Arabidopsis thaliana: one gene and its partners. The protein of the gene in region 1 purifies or fractionates together with the protein of each later gene. This does not show direct contact. Each region holds a gene or a part of one and is shown on either strand. Other genes may lie near its edges.

What was found.
Region 2: the proteins of PRS2 (region 1) and FIB1 fractionate together in Arabidopsis thaliana (co-fractionation; one large-scale study listed by BioGRID). This does not show direct contact.
Region 3: the proteins of PRS2 (region 1) and AT3G05060 fractionate together in Arabidopsis thaliana (co-fractionation; one large-scale study listed by BioGRID). This does not show direct contact.
Region 4: the proteins of PRS2 (region 1) and AT2G40650 fractionate together in Arabidopsis thaliana (co-fractionation; one large-scale study listed by BioGRID). This does not show direct contact.

The regions. Positions count from the first base shown.
Region 1 is NC_003070.9:11,679,938-11,685,068, forward strand, and holds PRS2 (phosphoribosyl pyrophosphate (PRPP) synthase 2), read left to right. Parts: upstream 1-1,796; 5' UTR 1,797-2,095; coding exon 2,096-2,239; exon of another isoform or gene 2,240-2,651; coding exon 2,652-2,816; intron 2,817-2,902; coding exon 2,903-3,151; intron 3,152-3,230; coding exon 3,231-3,374; intron 3,375-3,461; coding exon 3,462-3,629; intron 3,630-3,706; coding exon 3,707-3,776; intron 3,777-3,939; coding exon 3,940-4,021; intron 4,022-4,111; coding exon 4,112-4,292; 3' UTR 4,293-4,583; downstream 4,584-5,131. Other genes in the region: AT1G32375 (F-box/RNI-like/FBD-like domains-containing protein), read left to right, coding at 1-147, 232-366, 464-742.
Region 2 is NC_003076.8:21,292,531-21,297,363, forward strand, and holds FIB1 (fibrillarin 1), read left to right. Parts: upstream 1-1,616; 5' UTR 1,617-1,759; coding exon 1,760-1,778; intron 1,779-2,027; coding exon 2,028-2,335; intron 2,336-2,417; coding exon 2,418-2,513; intron 2,514-2,609; coding exon 2,610-2,687; intron 2,688-2,784; coding exon 2,785-2,961; intron 2,962-3,205; exon of another isoform or gene 3,206-3,279; intron 3,280-3,632; coding exon 3,633-3,701; intron 3,702-3,799; coding exon 3,800-3,979; 3' UTR 3,980-4,289; downstream 4,290-4,833. Other genes in the region: EDA41 (FBD, F-box and Leucine Rich Repeat domains containing protein), read right to left, coding at 1-164, 253-391, 486-926, 1,019-1,228; AT5G52480 (RNI-like superfamily protein), read right to left, coding at 4,388-4,833. UniProt on the Arabidopsis thaliana protein: S-adenosyl-L-methionine-dependent methyltransferase that has the ability to methylate both RNAs and proteins. Involved in pre-rRNA processing.
Region 3 is NC_003074.8:1,412,364-1,418,039, reverse strand, and holds AT3G05060 (NOP56-like pre RNA processing ribonucleoprotein), read left to right. Parts: upstream 1-1,983; 5' UTR 1,984-2,156; intron 2,157-2,451; 5' UTR 2,452-2,475; coding exon 2,476-2,556; intron 2,557-2,644; coding exon 2,645-2,686; intron 2,687-2,779; coding exon 2,780-2,959; intron 2,960-3,039; coding exon 3,040-3,204; intron 3,205-3,410; coding exon 3,411-3,611; intron 3,612-3,704; coding exon 3,705-4,202; intron 4,203-4,308; coding exon 4,309-4,443; intron 4,444-4,566; coding exon 4,567-4,866; 3' UTR 4,867-5,173; downstream 5,174-5,676. Other genes in the region: AT3G05080 (uncharacterized protein), read right to left, coding at 1-2; AT3G05070 (Cwf18 pre-mRNA splicing factor), read right to left, coding at 507-565, 772-886, 1,003-1,135, 1,433-1,560. UniProt on the Arabidopsis thaliana protein: Required for 60S ribosomal subunit biogenesis.
Region 4 is NC_003071.7:16,962,738-16,967,609, reverse strand, and holds AT2G40650 (PRP38 family protein), read left to right. Parts: upstream 1-1,811; 5' UTR 1,812-2,013; coding exon 2,014-2,303; intron 2,304-2,498; coding exon 2,499-2,620; intron 2,621-2,710; coding exon 2,711-2,801; intron 2,802-2,891; coding exon 2,892-3,012; intron 3,013-3,107; coding exon 3,108-3,181; intron 3,182-3,652; coding exon 3,653-4,022; 3' UTR 4,023-4,324; downstream 4,325-4,872. Other genes in the region: AT2G40660 (Nucleic acid-binding, OB-fold-like protein), read right to left, coding at 28-150, 276-341, 538-603, 758-928, 1,143-1,241, 1,537-1,599; AT2G40640 (RING/U-box superfamily protein), read left to right, coding at 4,412-4,817. UniProt on the Arabidopsis thaliana protein: Probably required for the first pre-mRNA cleavage reaction catalyzed by the spliceosome.

The DNA of each region.
Region 1 (5,131 bases):
GATGGTAGGGGTGGTTTTTGTGTCATTGAGAATAATATGACTAAGGTTGTGAAGGCAAATGTTTGCAATTCTTATGTACATACGCAGCAGCTCATGGGTTCTATTTCTTCCGTCAAGCGTCTCTATGTATGTATACCATCCTCTAAGGTAATATGTTTCTATAGTTCTGTTATCTACATATATTATTGGTTTCTTTGTGATCAAATTACTTATGTAGTGTCTCTTATGCAGGATGCTTATCCTGTTGGTAGTGTCTTCCACTGTCTTGTACGTTTAACGATATGCACATGTGAGACAGAGTGGCTAAATCTACTTATGTGTGTACTCAGAGATTCCCCTAAATTACGAGAACTCAAACTTGTTAAGGTCTGCAGATCTAAACCTGAATTATTCAGTCTCTATGATATATCAGCATATATTTTCAGTAGAATAACAGTGTGATGATATCTTACTTTTATCTTAGAACCATGTCTATCGATCTCATCAACCGCGGCCGTGCTGGAATGAACCGAGTGCAGTTCCTGAATGTCTGTTGACAAGTCTTGAAACTCTCGAATGGGTAAAATATGAAGGAACAGAAGAAGAGAAAGAAGTAGCGGCATTCATCTTAAGAAGTGGAAGCTGTTTAAAGAAGGTGACTATCTCCTCTAAATCCACTGACATCAACAAGAAATTTGAGATGCTCAAGGAGTTGTCATTGTTGTTCAGGCGTTCACCTACATGTCAGATTGCATTCGACTGAAGTTTAGTTCAGTCTTCTTCATTAGTCAAGTTGGTCTGTGTTTGATCCAATCTTATAGACTTGTGTTTTCTCTTCTTAAAGAAACTAGTTTTCCCTAGAAACTTATGTTGCTCAAGTTTTTATTCTTTTGACGTTGTGTATTCTTATGTCTTATAACCCTTTTGAGTTTTTATCTTATTTAGCTCTGCTTCTCACTGCATATTCTTCGACAAGCGAAGAATGACGTTCTAAAATGGTCAATGAACTTAGAGACATTTTGGTCTTTTTGTTTAGTGTAATCCGTTATGAGCTTGGATTTAGGTAGATGGAAATATGAATTGACCACGTGTAATCATTTAGAGCAAAATGATATTGCAAATGGTCTAATGGACTCGGATACGCAAGAGGTCGTGGCAATGGCTAATCACATCTCCTTATATCTTTAATGTGTTAAATATGACATTGTGGCTTCTTATTATTATAACCCGTTTGCCTTTTCAGTTTCACACAAATGGCAACAAATCCTTATGGCTGCATATGTTTTCAATTTGGATCTCTTTAAACTCAAAACAAGTATTAAGGCAATCTCTATGATGTTTTGTAAGTACCTTGAAGAGGTCTTTTGTAAGTTGTAACCTTTTTTATGTAGGAGAAGAATCACATCTTCACCTTTTGAGTTTTTGACTTGTTCTTTCCAAAATTTGCACTTTTCAATTGTTGCAATGGCCAATATTAATGATGTGACCCAATCTATTTGTATAGCCGAAAGAACCCAAAATACAAATGGTTTTTTTTTTAAAAAAAGTTTTTTTGCTGAAAATATATTCTTTTTTTAGAAAATTTATGTTCATAATTAGTTATTGGAATCCTAAAGTGGCATGAAAAATGCTTAGAAACAAGTGGGCATTAGGAATCAGTATGAGATTCTTTAGAATTTGTGTTTGAAAACAATTTCTCTTTTCGACTCCTTCAATGTTAAGTCCTACATGACACGTAAGCTGTGAAAGCTACGAGCAGAGACGATTTTAGCCATCAACCAAACGACACCGTTTCTAAACAATATTTATTTTTGTATGTTTTTAGTGTAACAAAATTACAATTGAAAATTCCAAATTTCGAGAAAGAGAGAAGACCCATCGCCGCACCGCTTGAGTCACTCTTCTTCCCGGAGAAGAAAGAAACAACAACAAACATATTCACCATTACCTTCTTCTTCTCCTCCTTCTCCTTCGTTTCTCACTCCAAATTTGGAACCCTAAATCCTAATATCCTTCGATTAGTTCTCTTCTCTATCGGAATTCTTAACGTTGAGAGGAGTCTGATATTTGCCGTGACTCAAGAGATTCCAGGTGTTTCCGACGTATATATTTACATATGGCGTCGTTGGCTCTGACTTCTCCTCCCTCCGTTAAGATTCCTTCGTATCTCTCCTCGTCGTCTTCGTCTCTCTTCTCCCGTTCCTCGATTTCTTTCAGGACCACTGAGTCTCGCTCTCGAATCTGCGTTTCTGGTTACGCGGTGAGCATTGAGCATTTTTTTTCCTTCATGTTAATGAATGAATTCGATATTCACATTGCGTTTCATGTATTTGTTATAAGAAAATTCAAATTGTTTTTGGATGAATCTATGCTTTGATGATCTGTGAGATTTTTCTGGATTTAGTAGATGCTATTAGCAGTTCGTTTACAGGCTAATTTTGTGAGAATTTGTGTGTTGTCGTCGCTCTTGGCTTGACTTTGTCCATGTATGTGACTGTAGAATTTGGAATTTGGAACTTTCAGCTTTGGAATCTTGTGTGTTGAATACTGTTCATGAATGTTTGGTTATTCTTATGTTTGTAGAGAGATGTAAGAGAGATCGTGTGTTGGTTAAATTTTGTGTCTAACATTTTGAATTTGGTTTCACAATTCCTTGTCATTGTGTTTGATAGAAATGCAATTTGCCTAAGGCACTAAACGGGAACGCTCGTGTTCCAATTATTAATGAGACGACAATTCCTAAGTTCTTTGATTCTTCACGGTTGGAGAAATCGGTTAGTAGAAACAATACTAAGCTCAAGTTGTTCTCTGGTACTGCTAATCCAGCTTTATCTCAGGTAGTTTTCTCGAGACCTTTGGTTGTCTTTTTTAATCAAGTTTTCTTCTGGTGAAGTATATGCTAAACTCTTGGAATTTTGTGAAGGAAATTGCTTGGTATATGGGTCTGGAGCTTGGGAAGGTTAGCATAAAGAGATTTGCTGATGGAGAGATCTATGTTCAGCTCAAAGAAAGTGTTAGAGGTTGCGATGTCTTTTTGGTGCAGCCTACTTGCACTCCAACTAATGAGAATCTCATGGAGCTATTGATCATGGTGGATGCTTGCCGAAGAGCATCAGCTAAGAAAGTCACAGCTGTGATTCCGTATTTTGGATACGCAAGAGCTGATAGAAAGGTAGGTTCTTTTTGTCTTCTTCAATGGTAGATACAGTATGTCAAGTAATTTCATCTGATGTATCTATTGATGTTTTCAGACACAAGGGCGTGAATCTATTGCTGCCAAATTGGTAGCAAACCTTATAACAGAAGCCGGTGCAGATAGGGTTCTGGCTTGTGATCTTCATTCAGGACAATCCATGGGTTATTTTGACATACCAGTGGATCATGTCTATTGCCAGGTATCTTAAGTTTCAACCTTTTTGATAGACAAGCCTCTACTTTTTATGCAACCTTTAAAATCTTACACAATTGTGATTACATTTCAGCCTGTGATACTTGATTATCTTGCTAGCAAGTCAATTTCCTCTGAGGATTTGGTAGTGGTTTCTCCTGATGTTGGTGGAGTAGCCAGGGCACGTGCATTTGCTAAGAAATTATCTGATGCACCACTTGCCATTGTCGATAAAAGGCGTCACGGCCACAATGTCGCTGAGGTAAAAATTTAAATTTACCTTCATTTTATCCTTTCTACACGCAAGTTCTCATGTGTTGATAATACTCTTTCCCACAGGTCATGAACCTAATCGGTGATGTTAAAGGGAAGGTGGCAGTAATGGTGGATGATATTATTGATACAGCTGGTTAGTAAAAATTGCCAGAAACTCCTCTTTCCGTTGATATGTTTGTTATAAACAAAAGCTTCCAAACTCTAGGCCATAATCGAGATATTACTAAATAGAGATTATTCTGTGATTTGCAGGCCATACATTACTAAGAACCAGTTTTTTATCTTCTTATTTACAGGAACCATTGTGAAAGGAGCAGCTCTTTTACACGAGGAGGGTGCACGTGAGGTTTACGCTTGCTGTACACACGCTGTTTTCAGGTAAACCCATTAGCTTGAGTTTTACCAGTTCTTCTCCATTTTCGTTTATGAAACTAAGAGACCGTTTTCTTGAATGAATCAATGTCACAGTCCTCCTGCGATAGAGCGGTTATCAAGCGGTTTGCTGCAAGAAGTGATAGTGACGAATACTTTACCAGTAGCGGAGAAGAATTACTTCCCGCAGTTAACGATATTATCGGTGGCTAATCTTCTGGGTGAGACCATTTGGCGTGTCCATGATGATAGCTCCGTTAGTAGTATTTTCCTTTGATACTTGTTGGTTTTTGTTAATCGGTTTAGGATCGGTCTAAGTTCCTCTTTTTTGTTCTACTTCTTCTCGACAGTTTCTAGTCTAACCATGTCTTGCTTCTCTTACTCACCTAAAGTATGTCACAGTTCTATCTTTTCTTCTTTTTAGCATAATAGAGTTATGAGATATCAATGACAATAAAATTTTAATATTTTGGTTTATTGAAAATAATTACATTATGGTGTAAACATTATTTCTCAGGATTTATTGAGAATTTCTAAATTAACAATTTCCCCAACTTGCATATTTCTGGCAATAAATAGTTTTGGCATTTTATGAAATAAGTGACTAATTTTTATGGTTTAGTGTTCTTTCTTCGGTTAACCAATTTTTATTGCAAAAAAAAAGGAACAAATTAGGGTTTTATCAAGCCCGTCGTTGCATATAAATAGTCTTTTCATCGCCGCTTGAAACAGATAAGTGTTTCCTTCGTCTCTCTGTGGTCCGATATGTCTCCCTATAATCTCTGTTTCATAGTTTAATCATATTCTTTTGTGGTTTTGAATTCTTATGTTCGAAAATCTTGAGTAGTTGCTGTGATGTAACTACCGTGTGCCAGAGATGAAGTTATTCATCGTTGACGGCAAACATAACCTTAGAGTTCTAAGCTTTTCTTTTGTTCTATTTTTTGGTGTGTGGTCGAAGTGACGATAAAGAATTCACAGTCTGTCAATCCACTGACAACATTTGAGTGATGTTATTGTGATATCTCGACAGGTTCTGATCTACTCTTAATAAAAACCCTCCCAATGATTTTTTTTTATTAGATCATTAGTTTTGTTGAAAGTGGGGCAGATGAT
Region 2 (4,833 bases), on another chromosome or scaffold:
TAAACACTTTGCATTAGCAAAAATGTATCTTATGAGCTGTGTCTCTTCTTCGTTTCCTCTATATCCATGCCACACAAACTCCTCATCTAAATGAGCCGACAAGCATCTGGGAACAGTACCTTGGTTGGTACCATGACAATGGGAGATTTCCGGGTCGATATCCACTTACCTGGATGCAAGTACATAAAAATCTATGAGGTGGAATCAAAGAATCAGTTTATACAACAAGGAGATTGCGTTGTTACTTGTTACTTACAGAAGTGATAGCAAGAAATCTTAGTTTAGGAGAGTTGTTGAGAATTAGTGGAATTATATCCAACCAGAGATGGCCATGTGGACATATCACTAATTTTCCAAGTCGAGTGAAGGTAAAGCCACGAAAATCCAGAGCCTTCAATGACTAAATCAAAAGCCAATATAAATCAATGTGATCAAACCTAACAGCCAAGAAGAAAAAAAACAATAATAATAAAAAGGATAGATACCATTGGATCTTCCAAAGGTAACACAAGATACGTGACCAAGGAAATAGCTTTGAGAAACTTGTCATCAGTATGACATACAACGTCGATATGTGGCTTTTCAAGGCGAAGCTTATGCACCTTCGCGAAACGGTAGTCCCGGTTATCACTGATGGCGAGGCCCACTTTCGATCGGGCAAGAACTGAGCAACTTGATATAAGCCTCTCTAGAGAATTTTCATCTTTGAACACCACATAAAAAAGGCGTAATATGTTGAGTGACGGGAGGCAAACCGAAGAAGGAACATCCACTATAATCTTGTCCGAAAGAGTCAATTCCACAAGTGTTTTGCATGTGTAAAGACTCTTAGGCAAGCTGGTAGGCTCTGCCGTCCAGTGGAGCTCTAACTCTAGCTTGCGCACAAAGCGATCAACTGCATTTGCAACTAATTTCCCAACATCTACCTCAATAGAAAATTTTTACCGAGTTGGATGCACAAAGTTTCTAGAAAAGGTGCCTTGTGAAGTTCCAATAACTTTTCAAGAAACTTCCACACGCTTTCGCATTCATCACCAGGATCACTGTACTCGAGTTTAGGCAACAACGTCCAGACATAACGCCATCGTTTTGACAATATCATTGTCCCAACTGCATCTTTGATCGGTACAAGCAACAAAATCTGGATAAGCAAATCGTCGGGCAACGAACTGATCTCGTCTCTAGAAGCAACAACCTCTTCATCAATTCTTTGACAACGTTCGGCCATTAGTGATGTAATAGCTAGCTGAGTTTGTGATAAAGATTTCAAATATAGGTAAGCAGAGACGAGGAGGAGCAAGTCGAACCCTAAAAACTTTAGATGATCGAGAACCTTAGATATATTCGTAATTTCTCTATGAGAAATTGAGAATAAGTGAATAACTAACTCTTCTTGTCTCACAAAAATAAAACCCTAACTTATCTTTTCCGTGAGACATAAACAAACCCACTTTGGGCCAATAAAATCGGCCCATTATTATCTTGACCCAATCCGGATCAAACCCAACTCCATACTTTGGAGTTTGGACCCATCGTTACCAATGTAGTAGACTAATGTAGTTAAGATATATATAATAGAAGGGCCTATTTATAAAATACAAGAAATGTTACCAAAGCATAAACCCTAAAAGCCCTAAAATCTTAATATATAAACCAACTCACAGAGACTCTAAAATCAGCCACCACCGCACATCTCTCTCCTTTGCCCTCGTTTTTTTTCGGTTCTCGTCTTTCGTTCTTCACTTTTAGACAAGCAAATATGAGACCCCCAGTTACAGGTAAGAACCTTAGTTAAAGTTTATGTCTTTCTTGTTCTGTCTGCCTCTAGAGTATAACCCTGTCCGTATCAAATCTGAATTCGTATCATTACGGTTTCTGTAGTTTGAATTGGTAGTTAGGGTTTTAATTCATGAGCCTTTTGTATCTTCACTGTTTCAATAAAGTTCAAAGATAAAAGTAGAGATTTTTAATAACACTCTGTTCTTCCGTTTAGTTAATTTTCTGTATGTTGGTATTGTTATAATCAGGAGGACGTGGTGGTGGAGGATTCAGAGGTGGAAGAGATGGTGGTGGAAGAGGTTTTGGAGGTGGAAGAAGCTTTGGAGGAGGCCGTAGTGGTGACAGAGGCCGTAGTGGGCCTCGCGGCAGAGGACGTGGTGCGCCTCGTGGTCGTGGAGGACCACCTCGTGGAGGAATGAAAGGAGGAAGCAAAGTGATTGTTGAGCCTCACAGACATGCGGGAGTGTTTATTGCTAAGGGTAAAGAAGATGCTCTTGTCACTAAGAATTTGGTTCCTGGTGAAGCTGTTTACAATGAGAAGAGAATCTCTGTTCAGGTATGAAGTTTGAGGATTGTTTTCTTTATAATTAAATTGAGTTTGTTTTTGTTCTTATATTATAGCTACTTCACTTTTGCAGAATGAAGATGGAACTAAGGTTGAATACAGAGTTTGGAATCCGTTTAGATCTAAGTTAGCTGCTGCAATTCTTGGTGGTGTCGACAACATTTGGATCGTAAGTCCATCTATACACATACCACATTGACTCTGTTTTCTTTTTTTGTATTGAAAGACATGTGCTTGAATTGGTTCTTTGTTAAAACTTTTGTAGAAACCTGGTGCCAAAGTTCTTTACTTGGGTGCTGCTTCTGGGACCACTGTCTCTCATGTTTCTGACCTCGTTGGCCCTGTAAGTCTTTCACTAAATTATTATTTTAGTTATCCGTAGGTCCATTTCTATCCTATGTTTGAGACTTATCTTTGTTCTATTGCTTTATGATTTGTAGGAGGGATGTGTTTATGCTGTTGAGTTTTCTCATAGAAGTGGTAGAGATTTGGTGAACATGGCCAAGAAGAGAACTAACGTTATTCCAATCATTGAAGATGCTAGACATCCGGCTAAGTACAGAATGCTCGTGGGCATGGTTGATGTCATATTCTCTGATGTTGCTCAGCCAGATCAGGTTTGGTTCTATATTTCTTACTATGAAAGTTTGAAGTTACCCTTTCTACAGTTTTATTCACAAAGGTTACGTCATATTGCATTGCATCTTTTGCTTTTAAAATATCAGTTCATTGAAATCGGCATATGATGACATTTCATTTACTATGAAATGTTTGAAGCCTTTTTATTTTACAGTTATATCTTCAAAGTTTTTTTTTATTGCATTGCATCTTTTGCTTTTAAAAAAATCAGTACAATGAAATCGGCAGATGATGATTTTACTTGGATTCCCCTTCAGAACATTTATGGGTGTTGCAAACTCCAAGCTTCTGATGCTACTTTGTATCTTTTTACTAAAATTTTTTACTTTGAACATGCAAATCTGTTTTAATCTCAAAGTTTTTATTTGTCTTCATTTGGTATATCTTATCGATTTGGAAGAAGTCTTTTCGGTTTCTTCTGGTTTTCAACAATTGCATTTTCAAGTCATTTAGAAGTTTTACTTTATTACTAAACTTGGAGACTCAATTGTTGTAGCAATATTGCTGAGCTAGCAGAGATTGCTCCAAGAAATCTGCAATGATTCCATAAATGTTTCTATGTTTATGTTAATGTCTCTCTTTATTCTCATTTTGGTTCTCTGTTTATGTTTTATTTAATTGAATCCATCTATTTGCCTAACTCTTGAAGGCAAGAATCTTGGCCCTGAATGCCTCATTTTTCCTCAAAACTGGTGGACACTTTGTTATCTCAATCAAGGTCAGTGCTCTTATCCTTAATCAAATTCAACAATGTTCTCCTCTGTTATTATTCAATTTGTATTTCCGTCGCTAAATAAACATGTCTCATCTGTTCAGGCCAACTGTATCGACTCTACAGTTGCAGCAGAAGCAGTCTTCCAGAGCGAGGTGAAGAAGCTGCAACAAGAGCAGTTTAAGCCAGCAGAACAGGTGACTCTCGAGCCGTTTGAGCGTGACCATGCCTGTGTTGTTGGTGGTTACCGCATGCCGAAGAAACAAAAGACCCCAGCCTCATAGAGGAACTGTGGACAGTAGTGCCTGTGTATTAAGACTTATTTACTGGGTTTTGTTTTTATCTCCTTGCTTGTTGTATTAAGCTAGAGATGGATAATGCTTTTATGTCTCATTTGGAAAATTTTATCCTCGTTTTAGAACTAATATATATTGATGCAACATTTTCGTCCAATGATTGTATCTCCATCAGTCTTTTCTATGCTTGTTTTTGCTTGGCTATAAGAACTACTGTCCATTTTAATCCTACTTGTTTCTGCATGCTGAATTGATTGTTGAAGTAGTTTGTTTTGAACATGATTATGCTCAAGAAAAGGCGTAAAAGTATCACTTAGCTCTGAAAGGAACTCATTTTTTTTTGGTTAATAAAATTTTAAACACAAACAAACCGACTAAGTGTTATTGACATAAGTCTCAATACAGTTTCAAGTAATATTCGGCTTCTTCCACTATTGGATCAAAGTTATAGGCGCCTTCTTCCATCGGTAGCGCATTTTTAAGTATTGCCAATTGGCGTGACCAATGAAAATAGTAAGTTTCAAAAGAAAACGGGTAATCAGCAGAGGTAGAATCATTGTGGCGTCTCAAATCTTTAATTTTCTCAAAACAACGCTTCTCTAGATTCCCGACAAGGTTGATACATTGGCGTAAATCGAGGTGTTCCAGGTGAGGACAACCGTCAAGAATGGCGTTTAAGCCTGTTTTGGTTAGTTTGTTCCCACAAAGCTGGAGATGGCGTAGTTTAGGCATGCTTTCTGCAATTGCTATGGCATCATGATCATCATCATCCGAACTTAAGTAAAAGAGGCGGTTTAGCATCAATGTCTTCAGATTTGGACAAGACAGCCCTGCAAGTTTCA
Region 3 (5,676 bases), on another chromosome or scaffold:
ATTAGGTTTGAGCTTTGGAAAACAAAAAAACTTAGTATCTATTTTTGATTGTTCGGTATTAATAAACAAATATTGTATCTAAACTCCATCATCCCACTGTGGAAGCAACATGCCGAGAAGAAAGGTCTTAGAAGCTCTCTGTGTTGTTTTCCCAGACTCCAAACTAAACCCGTCTAGCCCGAATCAAAACTTTGGTTTCTAGTTTGGGATGTCTTTATCAAACCACAGTAAATCGAATCAAACCAAAAAACGCAGTTCCATTAATGATCAAACTAGATTACCACCGATGTTGAACCAAATTTAGAGAAAAACCGGACCGCACTTAATTCTACTCGGAAATAAATTGCGACTTTCTTTGATTCACACAAGAAGATAAACCTACTATGTCTATGCCAATGGCTGTAGGATTTTACATGGTCTACTCACTTCGAATGCTTTAACAGTTAAACAAAATCGAGTAGAATATACTGTTCAGTGGTGGCTTTCTTTGATGACGTCGTTGGGTTTCAACTTTCTATGGTGTTACCATCAGCTTCAGCCATCTCACGTTCTTTCTCTTGCTCCTCTGCAATTAGATGATGAAAGTGCATGTGTTAGTTCCATAATAAACAAACACCAACAGATCACTCTATTTTGGACTTCTATGATTTGGTATCATACTACCAACAGATTCAGTGAAATGTTACTCACTTACTCACGAACCACAGACTAATGTCTTAATTATCAAGCTTACATAGAAGATATCAGTATGTAGATACAGTTGCCACTTACCCATGAGTTTATGCATTGCCTTTTGAGTCCGCCTTTCGAGCTTATCAAGCTTCTTCTGCACATCTCTTCGGAGGTCCCAGTTTGGCTTCTTTGGAGCGATGTTAACAAATGGGTCCTACAATGATAACATTTTTTGTAAGCTTAAGAGGCACAAGTAAAGGAAACAACAATGCTAAACAGAGTCGCTTTTGGTGATCCTTGTACAGAGAAAAGAAAAACTGTCACACACACCTCTTTCTTCTCTACAGCAGGTGGAAGTGCAACGATCGGATCTTCGAATTTGGGTAGCTCTGGTGGCGCTAGTTTACCATCCTGAAGCTCCTTAGCTTGGGGAACATAGTTTCTAAACTTCATGGCTGGACCACTGTAAAATCAAAGACAATTCATATGAATAAAAAGGGAATCTACCTCGAATAATCAATCAACAAAACCAACCACCTAAGCAAAGTATACACAACAATGCAACTTGAAATTGGAAAAAATTGTTAGGTAACAGATGCTGCAAGAGCACCATTATTGATTCTCTCACAAACAGTGATAGTAAAGGCGAGAAGCAAAGCACAAGAGAAGCTCCTAGTTATGCTAAAGCCAACACACAACATTAACAACTCCATGTGCTAGTCAAGACAAACAAAATAAGCAAAGAACAAAGCAAACTCACTCTTCTTCGACAGCTTCATCCTCTCCGTCTTCCTTGGTCTCAGACAGTTCCTGAGCTGCCCTTAGAGCTTTAAGTGCCTCTTTACGAGCAGCAGCTTTTTGTTCAATCGATTCATCTTCACTAGCCATTATAACTTCCTGCAAAATTAGGTTATCGACGTAAACATCGAACACTAGCCCAGCTTCTTCAAACACTAATCACACAACTACAGAGTATAACCCTAAACAACACGCAAAATCGTGATTTTCAGGATCCACGGAACTAATCAGATGAAGTTTTAGCAAAATCAGAGCTATACTATGAAATAAAGTTGAAGAGAAGTATGGAAAACGCTATCTACCCAGAAAATCAACGAGAAAATTTGAAACCGTACCTTGAAGCTTCGAGCTCTATAAATTCGAGACAAATTTGTTGAATACCACAGAGAAACAAAGGGATTAAAAAAGAAAAACTATTAAGGGGGAAGAGAACAATAAAACGCCCACGTATTAATATTATAAACGGGCCAGATTAAAATATCCATTCAGTCAGGCCCATTAATCTTAAAACCTAAACCCTAACTATGGAAGTTATAGAAATACCCCTTACAATACGCGGCGTTTTAAGAAGGCTCGGCTCGTCTTTAACTGCTATAACAACACACTCTTAAAACCCTAAGTGATTGTCCGTCTCCGTCTTCATCTTCTTCCTCTCTCTCACGCAGCTGCTTTGATTAACTCTTCAGGTATTTAATATCTCTCATCTTCTCTCTTCACGGTGTTTCACTTTTCCATTCTTGCTGGAGATTGTGGAGTTTCGAATACTCATACTCGGACAGAGTTTTAAGGCTATTGTAGTTTATCTCTCTGTTTTTTCTTCTCCTGTATTTCTTATGTGATCTAAAAGTAGGATTAGGGTTTATATGGAATGCTGTTTCTCGCTAGTTTTTAATCTCAAAACGAACTTTTAGTTTAATTAGTGTGACTCGGACACGTATCTTTACTGTTCTGAGTTAAGTGTTGTCTTAATTTTCTCTTCAGGTCCAGCTTAAGAGTTTTGTGAAGATGGTCTTAGTGCTATACGAGACAGCGGCGGGGTTTGCCCTCTTTAAAGTTAAAGATGAAGGAAAGATGGCTAACGTCGAGGTGAGTTCTCTTCATTCTTTTGTACTCTCTTTGCTTATCCTTAAGGCTCTAAAAGTATTCATGGATTATTTTTTATTTTTTTTTGCAGGATTTGTGTAAAGAGTTCGACACTCCAGACTCAGCACGAAAGGTAATTTTTTTGCTTCTTCATCAAGTGTGGTTTCAGAACATCTAAAATTAGATTTAGTGTTGAGTTTCTCATATGTTTTTATTGGTGTACCAGATGGTTAAGCTAAAAGCTTTTGAGAAGTTTGACAATACATCTGAAGCTCTCGAAGCTGTGGCTAAATTGCTGGAGGGAGCTCCAAGCAAAGGTCTGCGCAAGTTTTTGAAAGCTAATTGTCAAGGTGAAACCTTGGCTGTGGCTGATTCAAAGCTTGGGAATGTTATCAAGGAGAAACTGGTTTGTAATTCCCATCATTACACCCATATTCCTGTCTGCTCTGTGTTTTGTTTCTAATGAAAGTTCTTAATTTCATACAGAAAATTGATTGCATTCACAACAATGCTGTTATGGAGCTTCTACGTGGTGTTAGAAGTCAGTTTACTGAACTCATATCTGGGTTGGGTGATCAAGACTTGGCTCCTATGAGCTTGGGTCTGTCTCACAGTCTCGCCAGATATAAGCTAAAGTTTAGTTCTGACAAGGTATCTTCGGTTCCTGACTAATTGTATTGGTCTTTTTATTTGGTGATATGATATGTGAAGTATATGAATTTGTTAATTGATCGAAGCTAACTTGTGTTAAATTATGGAACTTCTGTATTGAACTAGCCTTTGATTGTCCGACATTAAACGTTTCCTGTGTTTGTTTTTGCTTCTCTTGCATCTCCTAACTGTTTAGTTTTTGTCAGGTGGATACCATGATTATCCAAGCTATTGGTCTGCTTGATGATCTTGACAAAGAGCTGAACACATACGCCATGAGGGTTAGAGAATGGTATGGATGGCATTTTCCCGAGCTTGCTAAGATCATATCAGACAATATCCTATATGCCAAATCTGTTAAATTGATGGGAAACCGAGTTAATGCTGCTAAGCTAGACTTCTCCGAGGTAACTTTCAATTTTGTAAACTGTGTAGAGGCTTCCATGAACAAACGCCTTGATTAACGACCTAATATTCTCCTGTTTCTGGTTTCATTGTAGATCTTAGCAGATGAAATTGAGGCAGATCTTAAGGACGCAGCTGTGATATCCATGGGAACAGAAGTCAGTGACTTAGACTTGTTGCACATCCGTGAACTCTGTGACCAGGTTCTCTCTCTTTCTGAGTACAGAGCTCAGCTTTACGATTACCTAAAGAGCAGAATGAACACTATTGCTCCCAATCTGACTGCCCTGGTAGGAGAGCTTGTTGGTGCTCGTCTTATTTCCCATGGAGGTAGTTTATTGAACCTCTCCAAGCAACCTGGGAGCACGGTTCAGATACTCGGAGCCGAAAAAGCTCTCTTTAGAGCTCTTAAGACAAAACACGCCACACCCAAGTACGGTTTGATTTTTCACGCATCTCTGGTTGGTCAAGCAGCACCAAAGCACAAGGGAAAGATCTCGCGGTCTTTAGCTGCTAAAACTGTTCTTGCTATTAGGGTTGATGCTCTTGGTGATAGCCAAGATAACACTATGGGCCTTGAAAACCGAGCTAAGGTAACAAAATTCTTCAATAGCTTTCCTCTTGTTGGTATCTCTCTGAACAATCTTTTTTCCTCCTTCTTAACTGATGATGTTTCTGATATGTGTTAAAAACTCACAGCTTGAAGCGCGGTTGAGAAATCTTGAAGGAAAAGATTTAGGTCGTCTGTCTGGTTCATCTAAAGGCAAACCTAAGATTGAAGTCTATAACAAGGATAAAAAGATGGGATCAGGCGGTCTTATCACTCCTGCTAAGGTCACGATCATTCTCTCTGTTTTTGATTCATCATCTTTTCTTCTAATTTTGGATGTGTGTACATATTGTCTTTGTTCTTGGGATTATGATGAAGTGATCTTGACTGTTTTTTGTTATGTGCAGACTTACAACACTGCTGCAGATTCTCTTCTTGGGGAAACCTCAGCTAAATCTGAGGAGCCATCAAAGAAGAAAGATAAGAAAAAGAAGAAGAAGGTAGAAGAAGAGAAACCCGAAGAGGAAGAGCCATCAGAGAAAAAGAAGAAGAAGAAAGCTGAAGCAGAAACTGAAGCCGTAGTAGAGGTTGCAAAGGAGGAGAAGAAGAAGAATAAGAAGAAGAGAAAGCATGAGGAAGAAGAAACAACGGAGACACCAGCCAAGAAGAAGGATAAGAAAGAGAAGAAAAAGAAGAGTAAGGACTGAGGGAGAGAAACCGATTTTGAGAAATCTCTTGAGTGTAAGATTAATAACTGTTTTTGTTGAATTGCATTTTATCTAGAGGAATAGGTGTTTTAAGATGAAACTTAAATTTTCTGAAATCGTCATTTTGAATGATGGATTCATATTTAAATCCTTTTCACCCGAACTTTATTTTTGTTCTAGCCTTCCAGACTCTAGATTATTAATTTTGGAACTCTTTTTTCAATTTATAGTTTGTAGTTGTACAATATTCTTCTTGCATGATTTATATATATCTGGAAGAGGAAAGAATTGAAGAAAAATAATATATTCTGAAAAAATCAAATAGTTTTTTGCTACTAAACGTGTCTGTAGATTCACCAAATAAAATACTCTTTGATTTTGTTTTGATTTTAAAGATTTTTTACAGGCGTTAGTATCTTTTTCATGATCGTATTTCTCTTTGTTGACTATGCATGTTTATCTTTGGTTATTGTCTGGCAAGATTTTAATCAAATTAATGAGGTCAATAAAATTAGTATATCGTCTACAAGAATACATAGTAGTTAGCAATAATGCTGGGAATGAATGAATAAATAGATAATATATGTAGCTTTAAGTCATAAAAGAAATAAAATGGCTAATTCTAAAGGACAGACGTAAATCATTAGTTCCTTAAGCTTTTGTTCCTTGTTTGGTTTACAATAGAGTCTTGATAAAGGAGCTTCTTTGATTGGATAGATGAAGTAAACTCTCATTACATACCATATTTCTTATTTTATTTGTTTTTCCAATTCCTATTTTAATATTAAAAAAAACTCTTAGTGTTTATTT
Region 4 (4,872 bases), on another chromosome or scaffold:
ATCAAACTTAAAAGTTAAAATAAGTACCTCTGGCTCAGTTTTCTTTGTGCCCAGCTGCGGCTGCACATCTGGCTTGTCAACAGGCTTTACACCTTCTGCAGCTTTTTTTGAATTAGAATTTGTTTCCACCTTAATGGCAGGTTTTGGTACCTACGTTTAGAATAAATGAAAAAGATCAGAAAACCATTTTCTCATCGCATGTAATACATCTGAAAAAAGTAGCATGTTATTATTGTTTCTCAGTCTAAGAAAATGGGTATGAAAAGATAATTCACCTCGAAGCTAAATTCTGGTAGCTTCACAGGTATTGGTGCAAATAATGTCGACAACTCTTCTTTATTCTGTAAAATAATACGCAGCATATATTCGTAAAGCAGACAATCACAAGGAAAGAAAAATGTGAAAGGTGATGTTCAGAGAGTGCATATCTAGCTATAGTCACTAACGCCGTTACGCGTACACATAAAGTAGTCCTCCATGGATTTACAGGCTACCTCGGCGCAATCAAGTAACAAAACTTTATGATGTCGAACTTACCTGGATGTAATTCACCCATCTTATGACATGTGGTACTTTCTCCTTGTCTGAATCTGAGAGGCCAAGCTGGGAACAGCAAGTCAAACAGATAACAGTTAGTATTTAATACCTTTAGTCATCAGTTTATGAAAATTTGATCGTAGCATCTTTATCAAGTAACATAAAATTACTTATACAGGAACGAAAAATAAGTAGACTACGGAATATAGAGAAGTGGTACCACTGAAGAATGCAGAGCTGAAAACACAGCAACATCAGCTGCCGATGGCGTCAATCCGTTTCCCAAGAGCACTGACTTGGTAGCTAACTCTAAATTCAACTTTTCAAGAGCTGAAAACCAATCCTTTGAATCTGAAGAGAAACCTTCCGCAAAATCTAGCCACTTCAAAACCTGAAATAGGTTTTTACTCTTTAAAATGTGAAACAATGACGCATTATGCAAACGAAAGCCAACGAATCCTCATCATTTAGCATTACACAGAACTCAAACATACTAATTCATTTTTTTTCTAACGTGGTAGCAACGAGAAGGGAACTCAATAAATTCCCAGTAAGAGTTTGGCGTTTATGTCTATAGGAACCAAATTCAAGAAGAAACGACTTACATCGTTGTTTTGTGCAGATACTTCCTTTCCAGATGCCTTCAATACATTAGAATAAAGTGTCTTGATATCACTTTCACCCGCTCCGCCCACAAAAGGTTCCTAAACAAATGAATCAAATCAATTTCAGAAACAGAACCAATAAATCATCACAATGTAAAATCATAAAAGCCAATTTCTAAAGTTTTTTCCTTTTTCATGACCAGCTTGATGCATAAGCGTAAACACTGATAAGTCCAAAACATAAACTTTCTAATTGATTTCAGTACCCAATCAGATAATGTTCGAGTTTTCTCCACTAACTAATTCAAAAAATGATCATACACATACTCAGCTACCAAGCAAAACCTCACAAAAAAGCAGAAGCTTTTGAGATGTCATCTTCTTCAATACTTACAGGATCCAAAGAGAAGTGTTTGCAGAGAGCTGAAAGAATCATCTGCTTCGCCTTTGAATCCATCGTCAACTTCTTCTCTTTCTCTATTTTCGAAATTTTGTTCTTCTCTTTGGGGCTCTTCGCTGTAAGAAAACACACTGCAATTTCTTCGATAGGGTTTTTGCTTGATGTAACTAACGGTCCTAACGGACTTCCAACTAACGGCGTTATCTCCATCTATAATGGGCCTAGATATATTAGCAGCCCATTAATATGTTCTTACTATGGGCTTTACCACCGAAAGCAATCATTAATAAAATAAAATAAATGAATTAACTTCTCAGATTCTTCAAAGACCTAGAGTGTCTTCGTCTTCGACGACGGCAAATTCGTGGAAGCTGTTTCATCGATTCCGGCTTCACTGAAGCGGCGTCGCTCGACGTTTATTATTCCGACGACTAGGCCTTTGAGGCAGTTTCTGATTAACTTCAGGCGATAATGGCAAACAGAACAGATCCGTTGGCAAAGAATATAAGAGGAACGAATCCGCAGAATCTGGTAGAGAAGATTGTGCGAACGAAGATTTATCAGCACACCTTTTGGAAGGAGCAGTGCTTTGGTCTCACGGCGGAGACATTGGTGGACAAAGCTATGGAGCTCGACCATCTAGGTGGTACCTTTGGTGGTAGCCGCAAGCCTACTCCGTTCCTTTGCCTCATATTGAAGATGCTTCAAATCCAGCCTGAGAAGGAAATTGTCGTGGAGTTCATAAAAAATGATGACTACAAGTAAGATTTCTAACCAAAAGCTTATTTCTGCGTAATCTAGATTGGATACTGCTATTAGCCTTGTCGTAGTTGTTTCTCAAGTATACAGGTATGGAATGTCTCTCAAATCTATTGGTCTTAGATAATCTACTCTCTTAGTTTCTGCAGATATTTGTTCTTGAATTACTGAAATATTTACTCTTTTGGTTTCTGCAGATATGTTCGTATTCTTGGTGCGTTCTATCTGCGTCTCACTGGGACTGATGTTGATGTCTATCGCTACCTCGAACCTCTCTACAATGACTACCGGAAAGTGAGACAAAAGTTATCTGATGGGAGTAAGTTTCATTTTCTTTCGATGGATCCGTTGTGTTTAACTTTTGATTGATTTGTTCACTAACTAGATTTATTTCTTTGGTTTGGAATAGAGTTTTCGCTGACACATGTGGACGAAGTCATTGAGGAACTTCTAACCAAGGATTATTCTTGTGATATTGCAATGCCACGTTTGAAGAAAAGGTTTCTTCTTTTGCATTTGTCTGAAGCTGAATAATTAGTTTTTGGTTTCTGCAGTATTTTAAGATGGTTAATTTTTCACTCTGATGATAGGTGGACGCTTGAACAGAATGGTTTATTAGAGCCAAGGAAAAGTGTTTTGGAAGACGACTTTGAAGAAGAGGAAGAAAAGGAGGAGAATGAAGGGATTGCTGATGGATCTGAAGATGAGATGGTCAGTGCTTTCATTCTGCAATAGTTTTTATGTGATCTGTTTTCTGTTTCTATCTAGCAGCTCTAAGATGATACCATCTTCCTCCTCTTTTACAGGATCAGCGCCGTAAGAGTCCTGAAAGAGAAAGAGAAAGAGACAGAGACAGGAGACGCGACAGTCATAGACACAGGTATCTGAATCCGTGACCTTTACTAGATACATTTCTATGCTAGTTAACATTTTTCAAAAAAAAATTCTTTGTGATTGTGGAAGCTGTTTGATCTAGCTAATGCTCTTGCATCATGTCTAGTACTCTGTCTTTTGAGTGTCTGTTTCCACTATGGCATCTCAAGCCATCAGCGGTTGGATACAGCTTCCGAAATTAAATTTGTAGAGATCCTTCCAGGTTTCTCTGTACTGACAGTGTTCAGAGAGAAGTATTATGGATCAGACATTATTACAATCCTTACCCTGATACAGTATATGGTAGTTGTCATTGTGTTACTTTGAAAAAGATCAGTTAATCATGAGAGCACTTCCCATCTAGTTTTTAGCTCAATCAATGTTTTCTTTTTGTTACAGATTTTCATTATGATTGATGTTGAGACTTGAGCTCATTGTTTCATGAATTATAATTTGACCATGGTTCTGTGATTGGCAGGGATCGTGATTATGACAGAGACTATGATATGGATCGAGATCATGACAGAGACTATGAAAGAGAACGTGGGCATGGTCGAGACCGGGATAGGGAGAGAGACAGGGATCACTATAGAGAGCGAGATAGGGACAGGGAAAGAGGCAGAGATAGAGAACGAGACAGAAGAGACAGGGCAAGGCGCAGAAGTAGAAGCAGGAGTAGGGATCGTAAGAGACATGAAACTGATGATGTGCGGGATCGGGAAGAACCTAAGAAAAAGAAAGAAAAGAAGGAGAAGATGAAGGAAGATGGAACCGATCATCCAAATCCTGAAATTGCAGAGATGAATAGACTGAGAGCATCACTGGGAATGAAACCCCTCAGGGACTGAACTGTGAAATGAGGACATCTTTATCAAACCGAAACTTGGTTCATTTGCCCAGCTAAACCGGTTACTACACTGTGATCCTACTCACTATAGTTTTGGTTTTTTTGAGTTTACCTGATCCCTCTTTAATGTAGAACAAAATGGAGAATCTGTAATGGCATTGTACTGTATGTTCTCTAAACCGTAAACGAATTGTGGTCGAGAAATTCTGAATGTAACCCGGTTCTTGATATTAGTTGTTTTTAAGGTAATTCAGATAAATATAAAAACCTATATGTTATGTCTACGTGGCGATATCACTTTATGAGTCCATGTAAATCGGACCCACCAAAAGCTTATAGGTAAATGATACGGTTTCATAATCATTAACCATCACGACGCGCGTGCTACTCATGTCCCACTTACGACGACGTCGTTTTAAACTCTCTCTCTGTGCTCTTCCAGTCTCTATCGATCGCCTTCTGAATTTTCCGGCGGAAAAGCAAATGTCCGTTAACGACAGTATCGATCCTCGGTTCGTATTCCACGTTGAAGATGAATCTTTGCGTTTCCGTGTGGGAGATTCAGGTACTAAGATCCGGGAGCTCGAAACCGTCGGCGATCGCCATTTCAGAACCCAGCAAGGTTTCTGCGGAAATAGAATTGAGAAAGATGAAACCATGTATTCCGATGGAGATGATGAAGAGTACGACGTTTCTATCCGAAGACGAACTGCTCTGATTCAGCCTGGTATTGATTCCGGTAACAATTATGATTCTGCTGCAGCTGAAGAAACCAACAGAGAAAGTAAAAATCCAGGTATAATAATACTCTACATTACTTCTTTCACGACTACCGGAGATTCCAAGATTGT